3 linked regions of the Danio rerio genome follow. The protein of the gene in region 1 interacts with the protein of each later gene in a biochemical or structural test. Links are inferred from orthologs where the notes say so. Each region holds a gene or a part of one and is shown in the gene's direction. Other genes may lie near its edges.

Region 1 (3,657 bases):
TAAAACAGATATTTACTATTTACTCAAACTTGTACCAGTTTTTCAACAAGAATGAAAATATAAATCTGTAAACGTAAATCCACACATATTTGTCTGATAAATCTCTTTCACTAAACGAAATTCAGTAACCGTTAAACTCTTTTTTTTTCCAAAAACAAAGAGAAACGAAGATTTCGATGAACACCTAGGTCTTCTTTTAATGTATACGATAGTTCCATGAACTATTATTGTTGTTGGTTTTATGCTTTATGAATGAATTTTCCGTCTGTGCTTATCTCATATAACATCAGTTTATCTTCATTTCATTTATTTCAAATGCTGTGGTCATGTTCCTTTGGTTTCTTTAGTGTGCATGCTGTGAGCTCTTTGTTTTCTTCTGCACCAGATTCATGTATTAATTTGCATGCTCACAATCCCAGTGAGTTTCTAGACATTCTGCTTTCTGATTGGTGGATTCTGCTCTGTTGCAGCCAATAAGGTGTCGCCTACATCATCAGGAGGCGTGATCCATGTATATGCAGATGATAGCACCTCAGAGAAGAGCAGCTTCATCCCATACTGCTCCATGGCACAGGCGCAACTCTGTTTCCATGGACATCGAGATGCAGTCAAGTTCTTTGTGTCAGTGCCAGGTTAGTGTCAGTTATGTCCTTATTTAATCTAAGTAAATTGCAGTAATAGTAATAATAGTAATACAGAAAAAAACTATTTAGTATAACTTAATCTGTTGACGTTATGTTTCTAGCATGAATTGTTAGCATTTTAGCATGTTACCTTCATGTTTCTAGCATGTTGATGTGTTTCTAGCATGACACATTTAGCACTGCTAGCATGCTGTAGTAGTATATTGGTAACATGTAACTAACATTATTTAACAGTGTTTAACCACTTTGATAGCATCATTCTAGCATAGAATAGAATTCTAGCATAGAATGATTTAGCAACTGCTAACATGTTTCTAGCATGATTTAGCACACATTTAACAATGCTAGCATGCTGTAGTTGTAGAAGTATATTGGTAACAAGAATTAGCTACTGCTAACATGGTTCTAGCATGACTTAGCACGTTTAAAGCCTGTTTTAGTACATTTCTAGTATAACTACAAAACTAATGATGTTAATCTGCTCTTAACATGTTTCTAGCATGACTTAGCACACTGCTAACATGTTACTAGCATGACCCAGCACACATTTAACACTGCTAGCATGCTTTAGTAGTATATTGTTAACATGTAAGTAAAATGTTTAAAGTTTGTTAGTTTTAACAATTCGATAACATGTTTCTAGCATGATTTAGCACACTGCTAGCGTGTTTCTAGCATGACTTAACACACGTTTAACACTTCTAGCATGCTGTACTAGTATATTGTTAACATGTGAAGGGGACATTATACTGTCAGTGGGCGCCATCTTTCGGATGAGATGTTAAACCGAGGTCCTGACTCTCTGTGGTCATTTAAAATCCTTTTTTTCGTAAAGAGCAGGAGCCCTTAATCAGCCCTCCCAATCATCCCTATCCACTGAATCAGCTCTATCACTGTCTCTCCACTCCTCCAATAGCTGGTGTGTGGTGAGCGCACTGGCGTTGTTGTCCTGTGGCTGCCGTCGCATCATCCAAGTAGAGGCTGCACACTGGTGGTGGTGTGGAGAGACCGCCCCCCCCCCCCCCCCCCCCCCCCCTTATGATTGTAAAGTGCTTATACACAATAAATGTGCTATATAAATACACCTTACATTACATTATATGTAACTAACATGATTGAGCACTGTTAATGTTTAGCACTTTGATAACATTAAGTTTCTAGCATGATTTAACAAGTGCTAACATGTTTCTATAGCACAATTGGCACACATTTAACACTGCTAGCATGCTGTAGCAGTATATTGTAAACATTAACATTATTTAAAACTGTTATTGTTTAGCACTTTAATAACATTACGTTTCTAGAATGACTTAGCACGATTAATATTACTAACATGCTGTAGTAGTGTATTGTAAACATGTACCAAACATGATTTAATACTGTTAATGTTTTAGCACTTTGATAAGATTACATTTCTAGCATTATTTAACATACCGCTAGCATTTTTCAAGCACAATTTAGCACGTTTTTAGCATGTTGATTTCTTGTACAGTGCTACATTGAATTAGCCTTCTGACAGCATGTTGTCGTAGTGTTTTTCTTGTATTATTTTACACTATCAGAAATATTGTAGCAATTTTCTGGCATAATTTAACACTCTGCTAGCATATATTTACAGCGATTGATTTAGCACATTTTCATCATGTTTTTGCTTGCCTTTGCTAACGGAAAGTAAAATCCCCCCCCCGCCATGATATGCATGATATAGTTCTTCTGGAAATAATTTGGTCAGTCATAAACGATCTGATGTTGTGTGTTTTTCAGGCAATGTGTTGGCCACACTGAACGGCAGCGTATTGGACAGCCCATCAGAGTCTCAGGGGTCCTCGGCCCCGGCAGAAACAGAAGCACAGAGTCTTCAGAATGTGCTGGTGCTCAGCGGAGGCGAGGGTTACATTGACTTCCGCATCGGTGAGAAGCAAAAACAACACAAGCTAAATTAGCATGCATGAATGTCAATCACATGCCAGTGTTTGTACATAATCAGAAAATTATTCAGGTGCAATCATGTAAGTATTTAGGTGTGCGCATAGATTCGTCTCTCACATAGGACACTCATGCAAATTGGATCTGAGGGGAAAAACTCCACTAAAGGCTTAATGTTTTGCATAGATTGTGGTGTTAAGAAAATCGTGTATTCTTTTTTTTACCAGTCTGTATTTGAGAGTGTTATCAGTTATGGATTATAATGTAATCTTTCTGTAAATTTGAAATTAAATATGTTTAAAATTGTCTGAAATGCTATGAAACTTATAGGACTGAAAACCAGCACTGACGCCCCATTCACACAGGGCGCCAGCTTCAACGCTTCCCATTCACTTTGAATGGATGACGTCAGGCGTTGCCAAACTGCATTGTGGATCCGTCGGTTGCCGCTTCAGAGGCGTTACTCGCTGCAGAAGTTGGGACTTGCTCAACTTTTCAAGCGCCGACAGAAGCATCAGCCAATCAGATCGCTGTATGCAAATACACCACCTCAGACAGTAGCCAATTGCTGACTAATTTCATTGGCCGATGCTGCTATGACGATCGCGTCTGCCCCAACTTCAGACCTTCCCCCTTGTCAAGCGTTGACACTGAAGCCCCGTGTGAATGGGATGTCAGACTCTACACTTTAAATAAAGGGAAAAGCTTGTTGATGCTAGTGGAATAGCCTCAAAAACTCATTTATTCCAGTGTCAATTAGACTGTTTTAACACTAACAAAGGCTCTAGAATACCCAAGAAGTGTCACTCGTATAGTTTTGAATGGGAGAAAGTGTAACGATCAATATGGTGAATGAAGCCCCGCCTTTTAGTACAGGAGCCAATCATCGATCGATGTAGACTGACAATTCTCCGTGGGAGGGTCTTGGACCAGACGTGACTTTCTGCAGATTTCGTGGGATTAGAACGTTTAGAAATGAAACTAAGATAGAGTTGTTTTTTACTTTTATTCGTGACTCCTAATATGAAATTGAATCGTAAGCAAGTTTGGAGAATTTTATGTTTTCGCATTCAAACAGAATGCCTGA
Region 2 (4,376 bases), on another chromosome or scaffold:
TCTATATAGAAAAAAACATTGATATCCAGGATAAACATACATGCAAACTATGGGTGCAGTGTTTTGTGTCACTTACAAGGCAGTACTCAATTCGCGAGTGAATCGCGACTGAATCGTTCATTTGAACCGATTCTTTTAATTTAAAGGAAGATTATACAGGAAAGAACTTTAAGGTAGGAATGAATTAAAAGTAATAAAGGTACAACATTATGGACGTTTTTGTCATCTCTAATTCGAGCATGCTTGAAAATAATTTGGATTTAATGATTAATATTTCCAGTTTAATAACCATCTGTAATAATGCACACAAGTATGCATATATTTCAGCAAAGATTAAAAGAATCGCATATGCATTCATTTACTATTTAAATGACAAATGTTAAATGATTTGGAGTAATGTAATGTTTTAGAAGCTCAAAATCGAAGCATAAAACATTTGTGCAGTTTGTTGCAAAATGGACTGCACTGAAGAAAAGAGTAAACCAATTAAAGCAAAATAAAATTGACTGAACTGGACAAAGAGTTCCTATATCAAAGACAAATAATGTCAAATAAGAAATTTAAAAAGCCCCTCAGGCTTTCCTTGCCTATTTTTATTTATTTATTTATTTATTTATTTATTTATTTATTTATTTATTTATTTATTTATTCATTCATTCATTCATTCATTCATTCATTCATTTAGTTATTTTTTTGAAGGTGGAAATCTGACATATGTTTCTTTGTTGCTTTAATAATCTGTGCATTTAGTTTAATGCAATGGCACATTGTGACTCTAAAACACATCTCTGTTAAAATGAGCCAATTACTGCAGGCTTTGGCAAAGTCCAAGGTACTGCTGTATGGACGTTGTCAGTTTTTCTAATTCGAGCATGCTCGAAAATAGTTTGGATTAAATGGTTATATTTACAGTATAATAACCATAACATATGAGTATGTTAGCCTACTTTCCATTGATTTATAACTGCTGCATACAATTGAACTCTAATTTTTGTCTTTTTTTCGTGTGTTTCTCTGTTTGTTCATTTATTTAAAAGTGCAATGTGTGCCAGAGCAAAAAAAACTAAAATTTGACCAAAATTAATCGTTTGAGAATATCATACTGTTTAATTCACTCGTTCTGATCTTGCTTTTACAATTTTCACAATTTTAAGCATATCCAGATAACAACACGCTAGATTCGATTTTAGTTATACTTTTTAATAGCCGCCCCCTAAGTCTCCTGTGAGGCGATTCATTCTAACTGATTCTTCGAACGAACCGATCGCTTCAAAAGAATCGCCTCGCTCTGTCTCTCTGCCCGCCTCCAAACACGCAGTCGGCGGTCATGTGCGCAAAGATCCGCCAATCTCCAGATGCGCGATCAGAGCGCCGCTCCTTTCCATCTCCTCCTCACTCCTATGAGACCGCTCTCGTCTTTGACGTCATCGTGTGCTCCCTCCCGTTGCCAGGCAACCCGTCTCCCGCACCCCCCACTCTCTCCTCCTCCTCCTCCCGTTTTGCCATCACTACGCTGGTAGGATCCATAATGGTACAGGCATCATCCTGCAGCACAATGGTGAGCGCGCAGTGATTCAGCATCGCAAACTCAGGCTTTAATCCAGCGTTAGACTTTCTTTTCATCTGTTTGATACAGTGGTTTTTAAAAGATTCGCCTGCCGGGATGTTTTGAACAGGACTGGACTGTCACCGGACCGGGATCATCGGACGGGCAGCTGGCACGGAATGGTAGGTCGGTCGGTCGGTGGGGAGATGTTGATGCGGGAACCTGAAGGGTGGGGTGATGAATATTGATCGAAATGAAGGTTAATGAAGTCGATGCTTTCGCGGCTTAGCCAAATAAATGATCCGTCACGAAGGTCGAACGATGTCCGAAATGGCAGGATTTCTCCGGTGTTTACCAGATCTGAGCGAGTGCGAGCGCACGTCCATCCGTGTTTTTCCTGCATCACTCGCGGTCCTGCATCATCATATGTCCTGTTTTCAGGGACCGCAGGCCTTTGTTAGAATATGGATTGATGGAATCTGGAGTCACAACAATGACGTGATTACGCAAAAGTCGATTCATTTACATGCGTTTCGGATGTTTGATTCCAATATTATATCATGTTGCATTTCAAAAAATGCAGAATTGCTAGTAAAATACTTTATATGGTATATTTTCACAATATGTCTCGCATTTGATGTTTTTAAGATGACTGAAGTGTATAGGTGCTGGAGTCTGAGATGGGCCATATGGTAATTTGTTTATTTATTTATTTAGTTCACGTTGGAAGCCTGAATAACAGGAAGCAGGGTTAAAACACACCTCATTTTGACACAGTTTGATCAAATTTGAAGTTTATTCCCAATTATGGTTGGATAACCACTATTTAGGAACAACAATTAAATATTAAATGCATGAAATGAAACATTAAAACATGTTTAGATGTTTTTAGATGTGTGATGCATGATGGAGCATTTTTTATAATAAATATTTTTGGTTTCCATTTTGAGATATCAAGAAATATTGAGTGAACATCACAGGATGTAATGATTTTTATGCACTCTAGTGCATAATGTTTCATAAGACTGCATGGAATAATAACTTCAAAATTTATTAAAATTCCAAAAGGGCATTTATATAAATGTTTTGATGCAGAAGTGGCTATGTTTGTTTATACATTACATTACATTAATATATTGACTTGAAGTTATTTATATTATGTATTGTGAGCTGAAATAAAATACATTTGCCTTTTTGAAAATTTCGTAAGATACAATATGACATTTTATTCTCAATGAAGCAATATTGGAATTAATAGGATATTAATAATCATATTTATTTTCAATCAATAGTTCTAGCATTTGATGCTTTATGCTGCAATTGATGCATATTTGAGTTCATGCTGGGGTCTAAGATGTTGAATATTTATTTTATCTTATTTTATATTTTTAGGAAGGCTACCATAGAGGTGTAAATCTATTAAAGTGTCATAAAGCAGTAAACATTTTACATATGAAGAGTTTAGATGCAAAAACCTCTAAGTGCCGTCTGAAATTTCCATTGAAAATAAACATTTTTCTCAGCTTCCTTTGTTAATGTTGAGTTAGTTCTCTTCAAAGACCATAAAAGAGAATTATTCTTTGCCATAAAAGTGATACTACTAAACATACACACAGGAGCCTGATAAAAATCATTTTAGAGGAAAATTTCAGACGGCATTTAGAGGTTTTTGCTACTAAACTCTTCATTTTATCAACTGAGTGCTTCACACTATGGAACAATCTTTCCATTTGGTATTTTGGACTATTTCGGTTTCCACTTTATGCGTTATATGTTATGCTTTTTATTAAACTATGTGGAATAATTCAAAAGTGCATGTACTGTACATGTATTTTTACTTTTTTACTCTGTGCCAAATATATATTATATATATATTTTTATATATTTGGTACAGAGTAAAAGTGGCTATGCATTAATTTACTGATTAAATGACAAAAGCAAAATGATTTGGAGCAATGTACTGTTTAATAAGTTTAAAAAAGAAGCATAAAACATTTGTGCAGTTTGTTGCAAAACCGATTGCATTTGTGAGAACAGTAAACTAATTAAAGCAAAAGGAATACACAAAGAGTTCCATTATCAAAGATTCATGTCAGATCTATAAAAAAAGCCACTCAGGCTTTCCTTGCCTATTTTTTAAAGCTGGAAATTTGACATATGCTGAAATATTTCTTGGTGCTTTAATAATCTGTGCTTTTGTTTTAATGCAATGGCACATTGTGGTATCCTCTGTTAAAATGAGCCAATTACTGCAGGCTTTGGCAAAGCGCTATGCATATTCTAAGGGACGGCCATGGACTAATCATCCGTAGCCCCCCCAAAAAACAACCCCATATGGCTAATTAGGCTGTTCCATTGTGTCTGTATATTGTTAAATCCCACAACACTGGGTACCCTGGTTATATTCGCCTCACGCTTCAGTGTCAGAGGTTGCGGCGATCATCTGAACTCTCGTATTCTCCAGGTACGCTGACATTTTGATTAGGATTAAGAGAGTGATTTTGTGAGGGAACTGCTGAAGGACAAAGCCTTGAGAAGCCGGTATTTTGTCTCCATGTGGCTTGAACGGTTCAGCAAACAATTCTTCTCTGTCAATGTTTTTTCAAGGACTTGACTCTTTTACCTCAATAGTTTATTGTAATGAATAGTATCTTGACCAATGTAGTCCACTACATTACTGTTATCTATATTTATTAGCTGGCTTGTTTGCTTAGTAAGTTATTCATATTGGATCAGTATCCTTCTCTCTATTTGCCCAGCCCCATTTAAAATATGTGTCTTAGGCCAGTGTTTCCCAACCCTGTTCCTGAAGGCACACCAGCATTAAACA
Region 3 (3,657 bases), on another chromosome or scaffold:
ATGGCATAGATTCAACAAAGTACTGGAAATAATTCTCAGAGATATTGGTCCATATTGACATGATAGCATCACACAGTTGCTGCAGATTTGTCAGCTGCAAATTTTTGATGCGAATCTCACGTTCCACCACATCCCAAATGTGCTCTATTGGATTTTGATCTTGTGACTGTGGAGGTCATTTGAGTACAGTGAACTCATGTTGTTGATGCCAAATTCTGATTCTACCATTCGAATGTTGCAGCAGAAATCGAGACTCATCAGACCAAGCAATGTTTTTCCAATCTTCTATGGGGTATATGCCGAAGCATGCTAATAGGACTTTTAATTTGCCAATAACCTGGGTTAAGCGCTTCCGGCGAATTGAATGCCAATGCAAAATCCGGTGCGTTTAAGGTCTGTTTTCTTTAAAAATGAGCGATCTTCACTGACTGAGTGATATCCGATTTAAAGTGGGTCTCAGATTGTACAAGAAGCACTGCATTAAATTACATTTCCCCAGCCATATCGTTATAATATGAGCATTTATTTTACCCCAGTATATTCAATGGAGCTTCTGCGTTAGCCTGCCGATTCTGACGGGTGCGTGCGAGTAAACAGCTTTTTGTCTCGTTTTGCTTGAGCAACCAAATAAATGCTAAAGTATATTTAAATGAATGTATTTTAATGACATTACAACATCGATGCTGTAAAAGGAACCGTATAAAATGGAAATTATGGAAAGTTCTTAATAACAGGTCACCGGAAGTGTATCAGCATGGGAACAGCACTAGCTTGGCATATACCCTATTGTCCAATTTTGTTGAGCATGTGGGAATTGTAGTCTCAGTTTCCTGTTCTTAGCTGAAAGAAGTGGCAACTGGTGTGGTCTTCTGCTGCTGTAGCCCATCCACCTCAAGGTTCGACGTGTTGTGCGTTCAGATTTACTCCTCTGCATACCTCGGTTGTAACAAGTGGTTATTTGAGTTACTGTTGCCTGTCTATCTGCTTAAACCAGTCTGGCCATTCTCCTCTCACCTCTGACATCAACAAGGCATTTGCGCTCACAGAACTGCCGCTCATTGGATATTTTCTCTGATCATTCCCTGTAAACCCTAGAGATGGTTGTGCGTGAACATCCCAGTAGATCAGCAGTTTCTGAAATACTCAGACCAGCCATGTTCAAAGTCACTTAACTCGCCTTTCTTCCCCATTTTGTTGCTCTGTTTGAACGGCAGATCAGCAGATCGTCTTGGCCATGTCTACATTTTTTTTTCTGAAAAATTCATAGCTCTAAGGCATTATTCTAAAAACACTAACCCATAAACCATAGGCTATACACCGGTAAAATTATTTTCAGTTTTGAAGATTGAAACAGGCTTAAGAGTAACATGAGAGACATGAAAAAAACTTGCAATGGTTCAGATTTACAAGTTAGTGGTTTGTGTAGTAAATGTTCACAATGTAAACTTAATTTTGGAGCCTACAGTTAATCAATATGTCAGATTCTGGAGTGCATTACAGGTCTAAAGAACATTATAAATGATAAATAATTTTAAATAAAACAAATACATTTATAGATATGGTATATACGTTTAGAATTTTACTCACCTGGGAAATGGAGGCCACGTGAATGGTTTGTGAGCACAATTAAGTGCACACAGCATGCCATATCATCTAATAATTGTAAGAAATAATTCCAAAAGGCAACTGATTTTGCAAAGCCACATAAAACAAAACAAAAATATTATGTATATGCAGAGTTTAGCAGCTAATCAGTCGGAATCAGCTGAGGTGGAGTGATGGCGACCAGCGAGACCTAGCTGTCACTCAAATGGCCACACCCTTAATTATGCAAACTTAATATAACTTAAAATAAATGAAACCGATGAGATAAAAAAAAAAAAACTCAGTTGTTATGAAGGGTAATATCAGCTATATGAACCAAAACTGTTTTTTGTACCAGGCTGTAAACACCTTTTTTTCCCGGTAAAGTTGGCCATTGTAACAGTGGGCTCAAAAAGAAATTTGCTCCACATAGAGCCAGGGATAGCGGAATTTCGATGAATTGCAGTTTCAGTTACTTCCGTATTTGCTTCACGAGGGAGAGCAGGAGGTTGCTGCTTGATTTTAACATGTAGAGGTAAGTGATCCAAAATGATTGTAACAATCATTGACCCCTAAATCTATTTATGTCTTAGAACTGTAAAAATAAAAATAAATAAATAAATAAATAATGCCAACCAGAACAATTGTTTAAACCTAAAATTAAAAGCCTGGTCACATGAGCTGTCACAGTAGGAAAGAATGTAAAAATATATATCATCCAGAGAGTACACAATTCCATATATTCAAGGAGAGAACCCCAAATTTCCTAATAAAGTCTAATAATTTGATTTAATAAGTGAATTTTAAACTACTGAGACCTTTCATTGTGTTAATGTGTGAGATTGTCTTTCAGCATGACAGTATGGGATTGCATTCTCTTTGCTATTCAGGATCTGAAGCCCAGTAATATAGTGGTGAAGTCCGACTGCACTTTAAAGATCTTAGACTTTGGACTGGCCAGAACCGCCTGCACTAATTTTATGATGACACCTTACGTAGTGACCAGATACTACAGAGCGCCAGAGGTCATCCTGGGCATGAAATACAAGGAGAACGGTAATGCTGTTTTTTTTTTTGGCGGTAATGCCCTTCAGAGCCAATGAAGATATTGAAATGGAATTGTGTTATTAATATTTGATTGTCTTTTTGCAGTGGATATCTGGTCTGTAGGCTGCATCATGGGCGAAATGGTTAAAGGGAGCGTCATATTCCAGGGCACTGATCGTATCCACTTAATTCTAAAACCTGAAAAATAAGCAGTTAAGCTTGCATTTTTTGCAATGCTATTTTTAAATGTCAGTTTTATGTTTTAGTTTTTCAAATATGCTCTTCAAATATATATTCATCTGCATTTATTTGATCAAAAATACAATAAAAACTTTAAAAAAAAATTTAAAAACTGAATTTTTATTTTATTTTATTTTTTTTTACATTTAGAGTAACTGTTTTCAACTTGTTTATTAAAGTGAAATAAAATTGTCCCCAAACTGTGAAGCAGATGATGTTTTCATTTTTAATTTCCTTTATAAATACATTAATACCCTAAATAACTTTTTTGAAAAATTATTTAAAGGAACATATTTAGATGAATATTGAAGCATAATATGACACAGAAGCCTGGAGCAATGATGCTTAAAATTAAGCTTTGCATCAGACAAATAAAGTACATTTTAAAACACACAGTATACAACTAATATCTCAATCTGAGTGCTGTTTTAGCAATTTTTTTTTTACTTGTGTTTTTGATCGAATAAATCTGGCCTTTGCATGCAGAAGAGACTTTTTTTAAACATTAATGTTTCCACACTTTTAACTTGTATTGTACAATGCATTATTCTGTTCTAGTAATAACTGCATGCAATTCCATCATGATCCTCCAGAGGTCTGTGAAACCCTCATCTGATAAATTAAACCACACACTACTCCTCTGAATAGTTCTGCAAACTTTTCCTCTCTGGCCATTCTTTTGATTAACCATACTTAATCTTCTTTTTATTCTCCATTGTCTGTTCTATTCAGTAAGGGAATAGGTAATTTAAAAGCAAAAAGTACTGTTTACCAATGCTGTATGCC

What was found.
Region 2: the proteins of mapk8ip3 (region 1) and mapk10 form a complex in vitro, tested with the Homo sapiens proteins (3 studies listed by BioGRID, with this or other methods). The link is inferred for Danio rerio from reciprocal best matches to the Homo sapiens genes MAPK8IP3 and MAPK10.
Region 3: the proteins of mapk8ip3 (region 1) and mapk9 form a complex in vitro, tested with the Homo sapiens proteins (2 studies listed by BioGRID). The link is inferred for Danio rerio from reciprocal best matches to the Homo sapiens genes MAPK8IP3 and MAPK9.

What each region holds. Positions count from the first base shown.
Region 1 is NC_133178.1:14,655,095-14,658,751, forward strand, and holds part of mapk8ip3 (C-Jun-amino-terminal kinase-interacting protein 3), read left to right. Parts: intron 1-470; coding exon 471-632; intron 633-2,408; coding exon 2,409-2,555; intron 2,556-3,657.
Region 2 is NC_133196.1:10,935,659-10,940,034, forward strand, and holds the start of mapk10 (mitogen-activated protein kinase 10), read left to right. Parts: upstream 1-1,515; 5' UTR 1,516-1,725; coding exon of another isoform or gene 1,726-1,728; intron 1,729-4,376. UniProt on the Homo sapiens protein: Serine/threonine-protein kinase involved in various processes such as neuronal proliferation, differentiation, migration and programmed cell death.
Region 3 is NC_133196.1:35,030,265-35,033,921, reverse strand, and holds part of mapk9 (mitogen-activated protein kinase 9), read left to right. Parts: intron 1-2,474; coding exon 2,475-2,640; intron 2,641-2,736; coding exon 2,737-2,808; intron 2,809-3,657. UniProt on the Homo sapiens protein: Serine/threonine-protein kinase involved in various processes such as cell proliferation, differentiation, migration, transformation and programmed cell death.